Linked DNA regions of Arabidopsis thaliana. The protein of the gene in region 1 binds, or shares a complex with, the protein of each later gene. Each region holds a gene or a part of one and is shown in the gene's direction. Other genes may lie near its edges. The genes, in order: emb1644, LSM3A, LSM3B and LSM1A.

The links.
Region 2: emb1644 (region 1) and LSM3A share a complex: the UniProt entries of both Arabidopsis thaliana proteins name them as parts of the heptameric LSM1-LSM7 complex.
Region 3: emb1644 (region 1) and LSM3B share a complex: the UniProt entries of both Arabidopsis thaliana proteins name them as parts of the heptameric LSM1-LSM7 complex.
Region 4: emb1644 (region 1) and LSM1A share a complex: the UniProt entries of both Arabidopsis thaliana proteins name them as parts of the heptameric LSM1-LSM7 complex.

What each region holds. Positions count from the first base shown.
Region 1 is NC_003076.8:9,813,638-9,818,125, forward strand, and holds emb1644 (Small nuclear ribonucleoprotein family protein), read left to right. Parts: upstream 1-1,862; 5' UTR 1,863-2,108; intron 2,109-2,229; 5' UTR 2,230-2,266; coding exon 2,267-2,269; intron 2,270-2,367; coding exon 2,368-2,409; intron 2,410-2,541; coding exon 2,542-2,640; intron 2,641-2,745; coding exon 2,746-2,823; intron 2,824-2,892; exon of another isoform or gene 2,893-3,030; intron 3,031-3,250; coding exon 3,251-3,287; intron 3,288-3,418; coding exon 3,419-3,526; intron 3,527-3,644; coding exon 3,645-3,667; 3' UTR 3,668-3,981; downstream 3,982-4,488. Other genes in the region: AT5G27710 (T-box protein), read left to right, coding at 1-27, 102-244, 635-705, 823-918, 1,064-1,156, 1,299-1,381. UniProt on the Arabidopsis thaliana protein: Component of LSM protein complexes, which are involved in RNA processing. Component of the cytoplasmic LSM1-LSM7 complex which is involved in mRNA degradation by promoting decapping and leading to accurate 5'-3' mRNA decay.
Region 2 is NC_003070.9:7,419,109-7,422,921, reverse strand, and holds LSM3A (Small nuclear ribonucleoprotein family protein), read left to right. Parts: upstream 1-1,964; 5' UTR 1,965-2,065; coding exon 2,066-2,182; intron 2,183-2,434; coding exon 2,435-2,530; intron 2,531-2,852; coding exon 2,853-2,933; 3' UTR 2,934-3,258; downstream 3,259-3,813. Other genes in the region: AT1G21200 (sequence-specific DNA binding transcription factor), read right to left, coding at 108-1,439; SEC5B (Exocyst complex component SEC5), read right to left, coding at 3,511-3,726. UniProt on the Arabidopsis thaliana protein: Component of LSM protein complexes, which are involved in RNA processing. Component of the cytoplasmic LSM1-LSM7 complex which is involved in mRNA degradation by promoting decapping and leading to accurate 5'-3' mRNA decay.
Region 3 is NC_003070.9:28,853,909-28,857,573, reverse strand, and holds LSM3B (Small nuclear ribonucleoprotein family protein), read left to right. Parts: upstream 1-1,823; 5' UTR 1,824-1,936; coding exon 1,937-2,053; intron 2,054-2,389; coding exon 2,390-2,485; intron 2,486-2,896; coding exon 2,897-2,980; 3' UTR 2,981-3,160; downstream 3,161-3,665. Other genes in the region: AT1G76870 (transcription factor), read right to left, coding at 1-324; SEC5A (exocyst complex component sec5), read right to left, coding at 3,292-3,513, 3,603-3,665. UniProt on the Arabidopsis thaliana protein: Component of LSM protein complexes, which are involved in RNA processing. Component of the cytoplasmic LSM1-LSM7 complex which is involved in mRNA degradation by promoting decapping and leading to accurate 5'-3' mRNA decay.
Region 4 is NC_003070.9:6,606,221-6,609,869, forward strand, and holds LSM1A (Small nuclear ribonucleoprotein family protein), read left to right. Parts: upstream 1-1,894; 5' UTR 1,895-2,067; coding exon 2,068-2,128; exon of another isoform or gene 2,129-2,276; coding exon 2,277-2,345; intron 2,346-2,432; coding exon 2,433-2,548; intron 2,549-2,651; coding exon 2,652-2,714; intron 2,715-2,864; coding exon 2,865-2,942; 3' UTR 2,943-3,149; downstream 3,150-3,649. Other genes in the region: AT1G19115 (uncharacterized protein), read left to right, coding at 131-136, 224-284, 392-693, 819-963, 1,246-1,265; AT1G19130 (RmlC-like jelly roll fold protein), read right to left, coding at 3,325-3,645. UniProt on the Arabidopsis thaliana protein: Component of the cytoplasmic LSM1-LSM7 complex which is involved in mRNA degradation by promoting decapping and leading to accurate 5'-3' mRNA decay.

The sequences.
Region 1 (4,488 bases):
CCTTATGGTCGTCATTTTATAGCAGAGGTAAAAAAAGAAGCTATTTTGTGAACTGTTTGATCTTATGGTGTAGTGATCTGATTGATGATGTTAATGAACAGGAAGTGAACTCATATTTCGAGTTCTTGTTTCATCTAATTGAATCTAGGGGACCTAGTGTTGGATTGAATGTTTCATTGAGTAGATATGATTTGTTCCATGGCCATTTATTCCTTGCCTCAGAATCTGGACGCCTTGGAATATTGTAAGTCTCCTTTGTCTCCTCAACACACACTAGGACTCTTGAAATAGTAATGATGATCATGTTCTGTTACTGACTTCGTTGTGTAAGAATCGAGACGCTTTGATAGGCACTAGAATAGTAGATATAAGGGGGTCTAGACCATTTGGTTAATTGGGAGCATTTAGGCTTTGAGAGTGAAGAGAACTCTCTAGGGTTTGTTCTTGTGTTCTTGAATGTAACCAACAGTTATCAATAAAGGAAGAATGGTTTCTGATTCTTAACACAATTGTTGCAGTGTTTTTAGAAAGGTTGAACGTAAGTAATGAGTTTTGGGGAATATTTATAGAAAGTTACATGGTTGAGCTAGGTTTTGAGTACTGTTGTTGACTAGTATCTGATTGGTGATGGTAGGTTTCATGCTAAAGAGTATCCAGCCTATGACAAGAAAGTGTTTCCTTACAACATGGGATATTGCCAGAGAGGTAATATGGGTTCTTGTCCGTGTGACTGTGAGTTTTCTTGCAATCTCTTGAAACATAGAAATGGTCACAGAAATCCCTTAAATCTTCAGTATTATGATTGTATCTCCTTTTTGTTAGGATCTGACGTGAAATACAATGATTCAATGAACTTGAGGAATATCCTTTGGCTTGCACCATTACCTAGCAACTCTTCTCCAGATTGGGTTGCTCCAGGTATAATATCTGTTTTCATCTCTGAGAGTAATAGAAAAGATCTAAACACTTCATAGTTTCAAGATGATCTTGTCTTTCATTAGTATCGTGGAAAACAATTGTAGTGTTACGTTTGACATCTTCCTTTCCTTTGATTGATCTGTAGGTGTACTTGTGGTTCTTGATGCGCATCCGGATGGAATCATATACCGAGATCTCATCCCTGACTATGTTAAGTTTGTAAGAACAATATACGAAGGTTTGAACAACTCTATACCTTCTCTCATCTCACTCATCAATTTGCTTCATTGTAGATCACATTTGATTACACATACATACACTCAAAGTCTCTTAAAGATTTATGCTCTATTGAAACTTTATGTCTTATCCTTCTCCACCAGATGATTTGGGAACAACCGCAGTTGATGTCAATTACTTGAATGTCGGAGCTCACGAACCTGACTATCAGCTTTTCATGTGCTGAAACAAACCAGTTACAGATTCACAATTACACAGTTGTGTGTAATTGAAACTTTGATTAAGATTTAGTTACTGGAGCTGGTCGAGGTTCAATAACGTTCGAGTTGGTTGATAATTTAGAGAGGTCTGAAGTATTGTCGGTTACAAAATAGCTTTAACAATCACATTGCTGAGGCTTTAAGCTTAATTGTAAAAGTTTAGGATTAGATTTGACATATCACTTGGCTTTGTTTGATTCACACAGTTCGCCTTAGTGATGTAAATTAATTAATTTCGAGAGCATCAATAACATATTAATGATTAGTTATTTTCCACCAGGTAACCATTGCCAACGGCTACAAATACACTTTGGTGTAGACAAAGTATACGAAAAATTAAAACAAAAAGCTCCGATGCCGGGAATCGAACCCGGGTCTCCTGGGTGAAAGCCAGATATCCTAACCGCTGGACGACATCGGATTAGTTGGCTAGATTGATATGTTTAACAATATATACTAAAACAGATAATATTATAAAGTTAAGGGACTCGAGTGCAAAACTCAAAAAAGTTCCCATTGACCTAAAACTAAAAGACCACCGATTCATTAGAAATCCATCCCTCTCACTGTCAAAACCCGAGAAGCAGAAAAAAGCAAAAAACAGATTTCGAAGTTTCGACGCCTCTCTATTCTTCGATCTCTTTCATATTTGAATCGTTCACCTTCTTGCCGATCTTCGGAGTATATTACAAGGTTTCTCCCTTTTCTCTCAGATTTTTTTTAGTAGCTGAATTAGGGTTTTTGTTCCGTTTTCGCTATTGCTTCTTCCGCATCTTATAAAGGGTTTAATGTTATACTTCTCTGATGTCATCAGGTTCTTAACGGATCTCTAAATCTTCTGATTTAAGAAGATGGTAAGTTACTAGACAAACTTAGGGTTTTTTTCCTTCTTTCTTGTTTGCGTTAAAGTTTCAATTTTTATTAACTGAAAGCTGTTGTTTTGATTTTATAGCTTCCTCTATCGCTGCTTAAAACTGCTCAAGGGCATCCTATGGTGAGTAAAATTTCGACCCTTGATTACAATTTTGTTATATATGAAGTGAAGCTGAGTTTAAGTGAGCATTGCATTAGGGATCTAAAGGAACTTCCTTTTACTGTAATTTTGAATCTTGTTTTGTTTTGGTAGCTCGTGGAGCTTAAGAATGGAGAGACATACAATGGGCATTTGGTGAATTGTGATACTTGGATGAACATCCATCTGCGTGAAGTCATATGTACATCAAAGGTTATCTTATGTTTTCATATGTTGATACAAATATACTTTGTTTAGACTTCGTGATGAAATTTTGTGTAGCTGACACTCATATATTTTGCTGCTTGATTACTCTAGGACGGAGATAGATTTTGGAGGATGCCGGAATGTTATATCCGTGGTAACACAATCAAGTACCTTCGAGTTCCGGATGAGGTAATTTTTTTTTGTGTGTGTGTGTATATATCTCTTGCTTGATCTAGTTTTTTCTTTGTTCCCCTCTCTCTGGAATGATGATGCTTAGCCAAATCAGATATGTGCTCCAAGAGGCATTTTTCTGTGGAACCTTGTTCAGCAGATGGTGTGCCTCTTGTTGTAGTGCGTCTTAGACGATATCACAGGGAATGGTTATTGCTGACCAGAATGTTGACCCACTTTTATGGACTTTGCTGTGTTGTGTTTCTGATGCGATTTTTCTCTATTGTTTCTACTTTATTTCATTCCCTCTAAAATCAAATTATATTCACATACCATAAACGATATCTTCATCTAGAAGGACAGTCATATGCTGTTTCTATTTATGTTCTTACTGCTGCAACCTAGATTGAGTTAACTGACTTAAATTGATTTCTTCTCTCTTCAGGTGATTGATAAAGTACAGGAGGAGAAGACACGCACAGGTATAGTATTACTCATGTCTATATTGTACCTTTACTGAGATATGCTTCGAGTTTTCTGAGGTGTTAATATTTTGCCAGAGTAGACATTGAGAATACTTCAGGTGTTAATAACGATGGTTGAATATGTGCAGATAGAAAACCACCAGGTGTTGGACGTGGAAGAGGACGTGGTGTGGATGATGGAGGAGCCAGAGGCAGAGGCAGAGGAACTTCAATGGGGAAGATGGGTGGCAACAGAGGTAAAAAATACACAAACAAAGCTTGTCACAAAACTCTGATTTTACTAGAATACTTCAAATATCTGTGTCTTGCCACAATGGGATTTAAGCTAAAACTCTAATATGTTATGAAAAACAGGAGCAGGTCGCGGCCGTGGTTGATGCAACAAGTTTTAAAGACTCGCTGCCAAATCTGCTAACTTCCCATTGTGGAGAAAACCAAAAGTTACATAAGAAGTTGGTCTGTTGTTGGTTTTCTATTAAGTATGTAAGGGATAGGGAGTGTGTTTTTCGATTCTCCTTGTGATCTTTTCGAAAAATGAAATTTGTCTTTTGCCTTTTTGTGGTATATGTGAAATTCCAATTGTTTTCATTTGCGCTTAAAAATGAATCTTTCAGGTCTTGAATTTATATAATTGTTAGAGAATTTATACAATTAACCAACGACAGGGTTTTTATAAGATCTTTGGTCCATCTTACCCTTTTATTATTTTTCTTTTTTTCCTATCTATTCTTTTTTTCCTCTTTCACCGGATTTTCTCCATCACTCGTCGGCATGACATATAAGATTAGATATGATTTAAAAAACGCATGTATTTCAAAGACAAAACATGCTCTTAAGTCTTTACATTGACTTGTAAATTTTTGTCAAGCTATCTAACAAAATCTCATATTTTTTTTTTGGAACAGATTCATATTTTTGTCAAGATTTCATGTTATATAAACAAATTACATGTCTTTTATCCAATATATCATTAGTATTTCATAAAATAACTATGTTTTAATGTAATAATTATACATATCTGTCAATATTTCACGTTATGTAAGGAGTCATATGTATTTCTTCAAATATCATGAAAATTACATATTTTTCTTCACTGTATTTTTACAATTGAATTTTCCTCTTCTCAAATCTATCGGAAGTCTTATTGTAATATTAGAAATTGATAAAGATATTTTCGTCAATATACACCGTCTAACGT
Region 2 (3,813 bases), on another chromosome or scaffold:
CATCAAAGTCTCGAGATCATTCCAATCAAAGCAAGCTTACAAAAGCAGAAAATGAGACTTCATTTAGCAAAGCTATATACCAATCAAGAGAAGTGAAGCCAATTCCGTTATAATTCAACACCCAATTCCCTTTGTTTCAACTCCAATCCCATCCGATCATTCTCAAGTTTCATCCTTTCATTCTCCATTCTCATTCTCTCGAGTTCTTGATCCCTTTTCTTGCTAAACCTCTGCCACCTGAATCTCTGTTTCTCCAATTCCAGCAATTCAACTTGGATCTGAAGCTTCTGCTCTTCTAGCTGGAGAGTCCGCGACTCCATCCACTGCTTCTGCACCGAACCTGCTCTTCCACTCTCCGCCCCACCTTGATTCACATCAGCTTGAGAAAACGGTATTTGAGGTAAAGAGACTTTATTACACTCCAGAGAATTCACATGACTCGGATGATCTCCATCTTCATGGCTAAGGCTTGGTCTTATCTTCTTCAAAGGACCACCACCACCTCCATAATGATTTACCCTACAATCTCCATACGCATAATGTTGCTCCTCATACTCATCATGTTCATCACCATCACCATCATGATCCTCATCATCAAGATCCTCCATTTGATGTTTCCTAGAATCATCATTATCATGATCATCTCTGCTTCTAAGCGCCAACTGTAACGAACGCTGCAAAGCAAGGTCATGAGGCAAATGCAACCTATTCCCATTATGATACGAACACATCTCTTCATAAAAAAGATGTTTAGAACTCATAATCTTCCTAACATCATCCTTCTCTTTATCATTCAAGTAACCAATCGAATCCAAAAGCGCAGGATTCTCAACAACTTGACAAGATGTTCCTCTACCAAGCATATCATTAAGCTTCTTATACCGTTTATTCAAATCATTGAACTTATCCTCACATTGCTGCGGCGAAACATGATAACCTCTCTCAGCCATAACTTTAGAAACAGATTTCCACTTCCCTTTCTTCTGCAAAACAGCAAACTTTCTTCTACTACTACTATCTATACTCGAATCATCTCCTATATAAGAAACAGCAGTAATCAACAACTTCACCATCTTATCAGTCCATTTCACTCGTTGCCATGGAGATCCTTTAGTTGATCTATTAGCTTCATTATGAACACCATCACCACCTTCCTCTGTGAAACTTGGTTCATCATCATCACTCACTGAATTCTTCTCTCTTTCAGCTTTCTGTTGCTCAGACATAGACATGTTCTGATTCTGATGATGATCACAGGTTTGACCTGTAACCATAGTAAAGGGAAGACCTTCATGAAGTGGTCTAGAATTAGGATTGTGTCGATGCTGCTGATTCATGGAGTCTTGGTGATGAACTCTCATAGAACCTTGTAAATCAAATCCTCCATAAGATGAAGCTCCACTACGAACTACACCTCCTTGTGGAAAATTCCCATCCATTTTTGGATCAAATTTCTTCCTAATTCATCAGAGAAATCGAAGAGAAAACAGATCTCAAAAAGTCAAAACCTTTGTCAACAAAATTAGTACTGGATCTTAGGGGAATATTAAAGATCGAAACTTTAGGAGAGAATGAAGCAGAGAGGAATCGGGATGAAGAAAATAAAGCGGTAAATATATGAGAGATGAGTCAAAGGAAGTAAAACTCACAGAAAAAAGTTTGCTTTCGTCTTCTCCGGTCAGCTTCCTCAGGTTTCTCTTCTCTCTCTGTATATGACAAAAGGCTTTTTGATTAAAACAACCAATATAAAGATTATAGTAAATTTAGTGTAATGAAATGACCAATTGATACCTTGTGATTGGACTTAATATAGTTAAGTTCCACTAACCATGATTTATTTGCATTAGATGATTTATTATCTTCATAATACTTCGACGAAAAAAAAAAAAAGAGCTAACCATATTGGGCCGATATGAGAGCCCAAAAACATAGTAAAAGGCCGAATCGTAAGATGTTGGTTTGAAGTTTTTAGGGAACCAACGGTGGCGATTGCTTGAGCTCAGTCAGAGAGATATCGCCGAGAGCACTACAATTTCAAAACCCTCGGAGAAGTTATAATCAGAAAATGTCAGTCGAGGAAGACGCCACCGTTAGAGAGCCACTCGATCTGATTCGGTTGAGTATCGAAGAGAGGATCTATGTCAAGCTCCGATCTGACCGTGAACTCCGCGGCAAGCTTCACGTACGTTCTTAACCACTCGGATTCCAGAAACCAGTAACCAGATGTGATCTTTTTCGATTTTGAGCTCCTTTTTGAATTCCTTATTCGTTGAATTTAACACTAGTTTTTATTCTTTTCACAAATATCAAAATTTGGACCCATTTTGTTGAGTTTCAGTTTCGAAAGCCTCAGCGAGAGCTAATTGGCGTAGAAAACCTCATAATCTTGTTAAATTCTAAGACTCTCACTTTTGTTGTTGTTTTTGTGGTGTAGGCTTTTGATCAGCATTTGAATATGATTCTGGGTGATGTTGAAGAGGTTATTACGACTATAGAAATCGACGACGAGACATATGAAGAGATTGTTCGGGTATGTAATTCTCTTAGCTCAATAAGATTTATTAATCTATGTAGGCTTTAGTAGTAAGATAAACGTTTTTGGGTTCAAAATATTTCAGCTATCACAGTATCTATTGTCTATGTCTCTGTTTGAGTTTAAAGGAGAGCTTGATTCATGTAGAAGTTAATAGTGCTGGTTACATAGAGAGTGTTCATTACCAATATAGTAACTCTGTTTAGTTTCTCAAACTTGAATTTTGTTGTTTGCGCTCCAAATGTGATGTGCTAACTTCTCATTAGACTAGTGTAGAATCATATGTTCTTCTCCTGCTGATGTAACTTGCTTCTGTCAGACAACGAAGCGAACGGTACCGTTTCTATTCGTGAGAGGAGATGGAGTGATATTGGTGTCACCGCCTTTGAGGACGACCTAAATGTTCTTGTGTACTGGGATCGGAGTTAACAAATCTGGCGCTGAGTAAAAGCACTTTTTTCTGATTACTTGGCTTTTGAATTTGTAATTGTGTGGTATGTTTTTCTTTGTTGTCAAACATTGAAACCGAATGTAGCATTCGAATCTTGGTAATGGGTGCCTCGTTATAGTAGAATCAGTGTAACATACTTCGTATTGTGACTTTCTTACCGTTTACGATCGGATTTAGTTTCGTTTTCTGGTTTGGTGTAGTTTTCTCTAAAGATTTGTATACTTCCTCAAACTCATTGATTTCGAGCTCTATTATGAATAGTGATTGGTGACATATTTAGATGTGTGTAACCCTAGGAAAGACATTTTGATTAACCAAACCATCAAATTGATTCACAGTACAGGAGGCTGAAAACGCAAACAAGATTGATTTCATGAGAAAAGATTAATGTAATTGTAAGCATGTAAATTTACAGTAAAAAAAAGATTAGTGATGAAATTAAAAGTTTTGAGGTATCTATCGTAAGATATAACTTGTCATGATCACCAACACGCTTCGAGCATAGTAACAATGGAGAAGAGAAGTCTTATCTTCGTCTGGGTCTGGCTTGAACCGGAGAACCCATTGGTTGTGACTCTCTATAGTTTCTGCTTGGAGAATCAGTTGATGTTCTGGAGTAGGCAGCTTTGGCTACTGGTGGCACTGGATCCAACGGAATGGTCTCAATGAAACATGCACTGTTCAAACGGGTCTTCTCTAGCTCCAGTTGAAGCATTCCGCTTGTACATTGCTGTGCAAGAGCCTAAAGCAGCAACAGTAACAAAGCAAACCCGCTTTTAACTGAATGTGCTAGCGGTTTTAAGTATTGAAGATGGTAAATATTAAGTGG
Region 3 (3,665 bases), on another chromosome or scaffold:
ACCAGAGTCTTCACCGATATAAGAAAGAGCAGTTATCATTAGCTTCACCATCTTATCCATCCATTTCACACGTTGCCAAGGAGAGTTTTCCTTGGACTTGTTTTGACCATCACTACTTAACAAACATAGTTCATCATCTTCACTCATTGATTTCTTTCCTCTGTCGACATTGTTGTGACGTGTATCCATAGTATTGTTAAAGCCTGAGTCTTGTCGAGAATTTGGATGGTGTTGTTTCTGATTCTGATTTATAGCATTTGGACGAAGATCTCTCATAGAAGAAACTTGAGAATCAAAGCGTCCTTGCGAGCAATTTCCTTCCATTTCTACAGTTTCCAAAAGAAAAATCTGAATCAGAGAAAATAAAAATTCAGTCTTTCTCCTCAAAATCAAACTTTTCTTAGATGGATTTCTCCAAATATGAAACCTAAATCATCCGATCAAAGTAAGCTTGTAAACAGAGCAATCGCAATCAAACACTACGAATTCGATAAACTATAAAACATCGCTAACAAAAGACGAAAAAAAAAACTTATCTTTAGAGAAAATTTCATGCTAAAACTAAACGGACCTTTTTAAAACGATTGAAGACGAGAGAGTCTAGGGTTTTAGAGATGAGAGTTCAAGTAGAGAGACGAAGAACTCTGATCACTGAGACAATGCGTGTGGCGGACAAAACATTTAGAGGAAGAAGAAGAAGAGAGTCTTGTTTCTAAATCTTTTTTAGTGACAAATCACAAAAGTTATTTATGTCCAATGTATCAGAAGATATTTGGACCCACCATTTCTTTTTTATTTATTTATTTACGATTGATTTTGGTAGTCACTATGGGTAGAGTATGAATTTGAATTTTGAAATAACTGAAATTTATATGTTTTTTTATATATTAAAAGATATGATTGTCAAGGGAAATCTAAGTATTAGTTTTTTTTTTTAAACTTTTTTTTTTTACTTCCTTATTGAATCATTAATACAACATTTCATGATTCATTACTAAATCCACAATAAGTTTTTATACTCTTACACGTGTGCTTATTTTGTAGAAGCGTTACAATTCACATTAAAAAGGTTAAAAAGTGTATATTTTTTTTTTTTTTAGTATCTTATCGAATTATTAACAATAGTGTCGTTCTTCTTCTATATTGTTTAAATTTATGTTATCTTAGTTTGGACATATAAATTTATATTAATTTAAATTTAGTAGATACAATGTGAGTTTTAAAAACACAATATTGTAGAATTTCATCACCAAATCATGTCCAAGTTATTATACTCTCGCACATATATTTATTTTATGGAACCAATAAGTGTTACAATTCAGATAAAAAAAAGTTATAAATTTATATATAAATATATTAAACTTAAATTTGTATATAGTGATTAAAAAGTGATTGGTATCACGTTTTAGAAGATACCATATTTGGTTAAAAACATTAGTCACAATAAATGATTCTATTTTACACGTATGCTTACTTTGTGAAACTGTCAAGCGTTACAACTCGAAAAAAGTTGTGAAACGCTTGTAAGTAGAAAACAAACGAATCGAAGTACAAAACGTCAAATTTAATATCTTAATTTACATTTTAAAATTAAAATCTAACATTAATATTTGTTTACTGAAATATCTATACATACAAGACCTCAACTCAATTTTCTCAAGGTAGAAGTAGAACCTAGCTAGTAGAACCCATTGATAATCTTTGAAATAATAAAATATGCCGATAGTTTTGAAAAAAAAAACATTTTTTCGCCAACGTTCGTTTATGGGCCTAATATTCTGTTGGGCTGTTGCCATATATTTGTAAAATCTTATTCGTAGAACAAAATTGTTAAGTTCGTGTCCGCGAGATCAGAGTTTGTGTCCGGTTATACGATTCGTCGGTACCAAAACCCTCCGAGAAGTGTTTCAGGTGGGAAGGTATCTCTGTCTACACGATGTCCGGCGAGGAAGAAGCCACCGTGAGGGAGCCACTAGATCTGATTAGGCTGAGTCTCGACGAGAGAATCTATGTCAAGCTCCGGTCAGACCGCGAACTTCGCGGCAAGCTTCACGTACGTTTTCTTGTGCCCTGCTTAGTACCTTGAACTTGTCACTACTTAAAATACTCGTTCCACACATAGTTCGTTTGAATTTTGTAACTTTATTTTGCCGATTTCACTGTTTTGGTGTCGAATTTGGTCCTTTTTTGGGGGAAAGTCTAGGGTTTTGATTTTCAAGTTTCAGTTTCTAAAAACGTTTTCTCGAGTTATGGCGATGAGCTTGCAATTGGGAATTTATGGTTTGTGTAAATTTAATTTTGACAAAGTTCTTAAATTTTGGAAGATTTCTACACTCTTGAGTTACTCACTTAGGTTTGATGTTGTTGTTGTTGTTAATTCTTTGGGCAGGCGTTTGATCAGCATTTGAATATGATTCTGGGTGATGTTGAAGAAACTATCACTACAGTAGAAATCGATGACGAGACATATGAAGAGATTGTTCGGGTACGTGCTTTTTCTTACTCAATAGTTAACTTTATAGGTATTTGAGGGGGATCTTGATGAGTTTCTATCTCAAGTTAAGGATATTGTTAGAGAACAAGTGTACAAGTGTCTTTTAGCTTTCACTATATACAGAAGTTTCAGCTCAATGTAGAACATTTACTTAGACAAGAGATTATATCCTACACGAATCTTATTGTTCTGGAAGATATAAGCTATTGGATCGAAATTAGGAAGGCATTTCCATGTAACTGACTGTTTCTAGTAGAGAAGTCTCTTTCTTTAAGCTTCTTAGGCACACACATATTAGTTGTTGGGACTCCTCTAGGCGGGCTACAATTCTGATCTGATTAGGATAAGTGGCTTTTGTCTCTCATGTATGTGATTAGTTTTGTTTACTATCTCTGATTGCAGACTACAAAGCGGACGATTGAGTTTCTATTCGTGAGAGGAGATGGAGTGATATTGGTGTCTCCACCGCTGAGGACAGCAGCCTGAGTTCAAACTCAAATCTTTTGTGTCCTCTTTTCGTAAGGGGAATTTGTGACTATTCTTGTATTTAGTCACTTCTTGTCTTAACTAAAACAAGCTTGAAGAAGCTACTTTGCTTAAATTTCCAATGCTTTTCAGATACTTTGATCGTGTGATATACTAATTACAACCCAATTATCTGAGTTCACAAATAAAGATAAGAGTCTGAAAAAGACAGACAAACAAACAAAAAAATGCACCAGGAACAAGAGAATTATGATCATTTACGTACAAATAAACGGAGAAGAAATTATTAAATAAACAAAGTTGGTCTCTTATTATCTTCGTCTGGGTCGGGCATTAATGGGAGAACCAGATGATTGTGAGCCTCTGTAGTTTCTGCTTGGAGAATCCATTGATCCTCTAAAGGAAGAGTAGGTAGCTTTGGGTAATGGAGGCGTTGACTCTAATGGGGCTGACTCTGCAAAGCATGCTGTGTTCACACGAGTTCTCTCCAACTCTTGTTGTAGCAATTCGTTTGAACACTGTTTCGTTAGAGCCTGTTCACGAAATAAAACAAAATGATCAAAATTGAGGTTTTGATATTTGATCAAATCTGTTGAAAAGAGAAAGGAAATGTATGTGTTACGAGGAGGTCATCTGCTGAAACAGATTGCTTGTCATCTGAAACTGTGTCTTCGCTGCCACGAGT
Region 4 (3,649 bases), on another chromosome or scaffold:
AAAGCTATTTCAAGAAGTAAAAGATCATTGACAGAAAAAGAAAATTTCTTGGAGAACATTGACAGAAAAAGAAAATTTCTTGGATAAACACACACATACATGTGCTTTTATATATGCATGTCTCTGAAATATGAAGGTTGGTTTTCATATATGTCTAAATCAAATTAATAGTGTTGATCTTTCTTTGATCGTGCAAAAATCTTGATCTTGTTGTTCTACACAGATTTTTAGTTGGGTTCAAAGAAAGCTTAGCGGAAAGAAGCGTGTGCCTACTTCAGATTCTTGTGAGTAAATATTCTTATTATTCATAGACTACATGAACAGTCTTCGCATAAATCATTTGAGCATATTTTCATATTTTTGTTTCATATGTTTGATGATGTATATATAGCTCAAGAACCATCAAGTCCTCCTTTGAGTAAAGAAGTCCAAGGTTTGCCTCAAGACGAAGAAACCTTCTTAGCCATCGGAACACTTGGAAACAATATCTTCCCCAAGCAAGAAGAAGAAGAAGAAGAAACAGATTCTAGCAAAGATATAACTCCGGTTAATACAGATGTTACTATCGGGAAGAAGAAATCGCTTTCTTTTCTTCTCAAGAAGATGTTTGTTTGCACAAGTGGCTTCAAAACTCCACCTCCTCTTCTTGATTTATCTAGAGGAGATTCATTGCACAACACACGAATGGAAAAGGTAAGCATATATGATCAAATTATTCAATCTTTAAACAAAATATTATTTTTATTATGAAAAGAAGTGAATTCAATAATAGTTATGTACACTAGAAACATTTTTTCCATATGTTATTTTGTGTGTAGATGCTAAGGACAATACTCAACAAGAAGATACATCCACAACGTTCAAATTCTATAGCAAAGAAGTACTTGGAAAGTAATCATAAGATTATGGATGAAGCTCGTTCAAGTGTTGACGCCAACAAATGGGTCAAGACTGATTCTGAATGTGAGATTTTCTAAAATTATATATATTTGGTTTTTCAGGTCGCAAAAAAAAAAAGTTTTATTTTAAACATACAGATGGTGTAATTAACCAAGTGAATATCATGACTGGCTTTATTGCAGTATTTAGTTAGGTCAAAAGCATATAATAAACATCATAAGGACTGAATTAAAATGCAGAAAGATGAAAAGTAAGAATTTAAAAATAGATAAATAAACAAATAGAAAAATGTAAACAAGAATAATGGATAGGGTAAATTAATTTAAATTTCTTTGATGGTTACAGATATTGTCTTGGAGATGTAGATATCAACCAATAAGCTAAATGGACCTGATTGATAGTCATGGTAATAATAGAATGTAAATAAAAACCAAAGTTTTTTCTTATTAAAAATTGATTTTCTATGTAAAATATAAAAAGTAGCAAACAAACATGATCACTGATTCAAGACAAATAATCAAAAATATGTTTTTCAGGTCTCAATTGAGTGATGGTGTAAGTTCAACTGTTCAAGATATGAAGAATAACATTGGAGAAGGGTCATAAAAATATCTCTGATAATCAGTGTTTACAGATGTATATTTACTTGTCAAACTCCATTTTTCATCATAGATTTGTTTTTATTTTTTCAGATTTTAATGTGGTGAAGAAAATCTGTTTGCTCATGTAAACTACAAAATATTCATCTTATCAAATAATTTTATTTGTATTTATGCAGTTTGAAATAAGTGATGAATAATGAAGAATGACTGAGATTTCTTGTTAAATAATAAAATGAAATGAAGGAAAACCCAAATGCAAAATAAAATGGGTTGATTATGCAATAGTTACGAAGTTTTGGGGTTTTAATGTATTTTTCCTAAAATTGAAAAAAAAACTCAGTCTGACCAAACTTTGACAGAACAGAATCGTGCGAGCCGTCAGACTTAACGAAAACGATCCATAGATCTCAAGTCTCTCTCTCTTAGTGAATAAATTAGGGTTCGTTGATTCTCTGTTCTTAAGCTCAGTAATCGAGGAGAAGAAGAAAAGGGAAGATCGGGAATTGGGAAACTGAGAAGTCAAAAAGGCAAATGCGAGTGGAGGAGATTGAGTTTTAGAATTCCAATGTCTTGGGCTGCTCCTGATGATATCTTCTTCTCCACTTCTCTTGCTGCTTACCTAGACAGTAATCTCTCTCACTCTCTTTCTCATTACTGATTCACCGGCGATGAATTCTGTAAAAAAATAAGATTTTGATCCCCAATGGTTGTTGAAGATGTTATCTTCTTCTACATGATTCAATAGTCTCTTAATGTTTTGATTTCTTGTTGCAGAGAAACTTCTTGTGTTGCTTCGTGATGGTAGGAAACTGATGGGTCTACTTCGGTCCTTTGATCAATTTGGTACTTGTCTTTCTCTTTTGCACCGAAAATCCAAAGTCTTTGAAATGGTTTTAAGAAATGTTTCGTTTGTTTTTGGTTTTCTTGAAGCTAATGCTGTTTTAGAAGAAGCTTATGAAAGAGTCATTGTGGGTGATCTCTACTGTGATATTCCCTTAGGTCTATACATTATCCGTGGAGAAAATGTTGTCTTGATTGGTGAATTGGTAAAGCTTTTACTAAACAAACCAATTCCTCTTGCATTTTGAAATGAAAGTTTCCACTTTTAAGAACGATTTCGGTGTTTGAATCGGGTTTCTGTGATCTTAGGACGTGGAAAAAGAAGAGCTTCCAGCTCATATGGTTCAGGTTCCAGAAGCAGAGATAAAAAGGGTTAGTGCAAATATCCTTCTCTCCCTTGTTGATTGCTTTAGCTCTGATTTGTGAGCTTCTTGCACAAATGTACTACAGCTGATTTGCTTTTATTTGGTTTAGTGTTTTGGATTCTACTGACTCCTCAATTACTCTCTTCCGTATACTCAGGCTCAGAAAGCAGAGAAGGAAGAAATGCTTTTAAAGGGCACAATGCGGAAAAGAATGGAGTTCCTTGATCTCGATTAGGGCATTTTCCTATGTGTTGCAGCATTGTAGAAACTAGAAGATCTCAAGATGGAGGATACAGAAGATCCTTAAACGTCATAATGTTAGTTGATGTGTGTATGTGTGGATGACATTGATGAATCCTCAGAACTTAGTCGTTGCAGATCCTCTGCTCTGTTTATGGAATGAAATTGTTGAGCCTGTTCTTTACTGGCCATTTATTTGATCAATCACAATTCAGTAAAAACAAAGATACAAAGATGAAAAGTGAACTCAAAGTACAGTTACAACCTTTGTATGATTCATATGAAAAGTTGAAGTAACAAAGCAAACATAGTATCCTTCTCTTAGTAGTTACCAAAAACCATTGAGCCAATAAGGCGTCTCCTCTAGGTAGGCCCTTTCACTCCGGGTAAGATAGCATTGTGATGAGTGACTCGTGTTGCGGAAACCTTGATAAGAGATCAGAGCGTTTCGCGAGCTCAAAGTCCTCGAACTGGAAAGCAGGAGCGCAGGTGCAGCCAACAAGAGAGAAATGGTTCTCAGAGTCTCTAGCCTCAGCTTTAAGCAGAGCCCCGTCTTGAGAAAAATGAACATCCTTTGTAGGAAACGAACCAAACCAGACGTTTGGAGGGACCGTGTACTGAGGCTTCTGATCACCTTCAAACAAGTCAGGACCAAGACATGTGAATTTCAACTTCCCATCATCGTAGAGTTCCACTACCTGA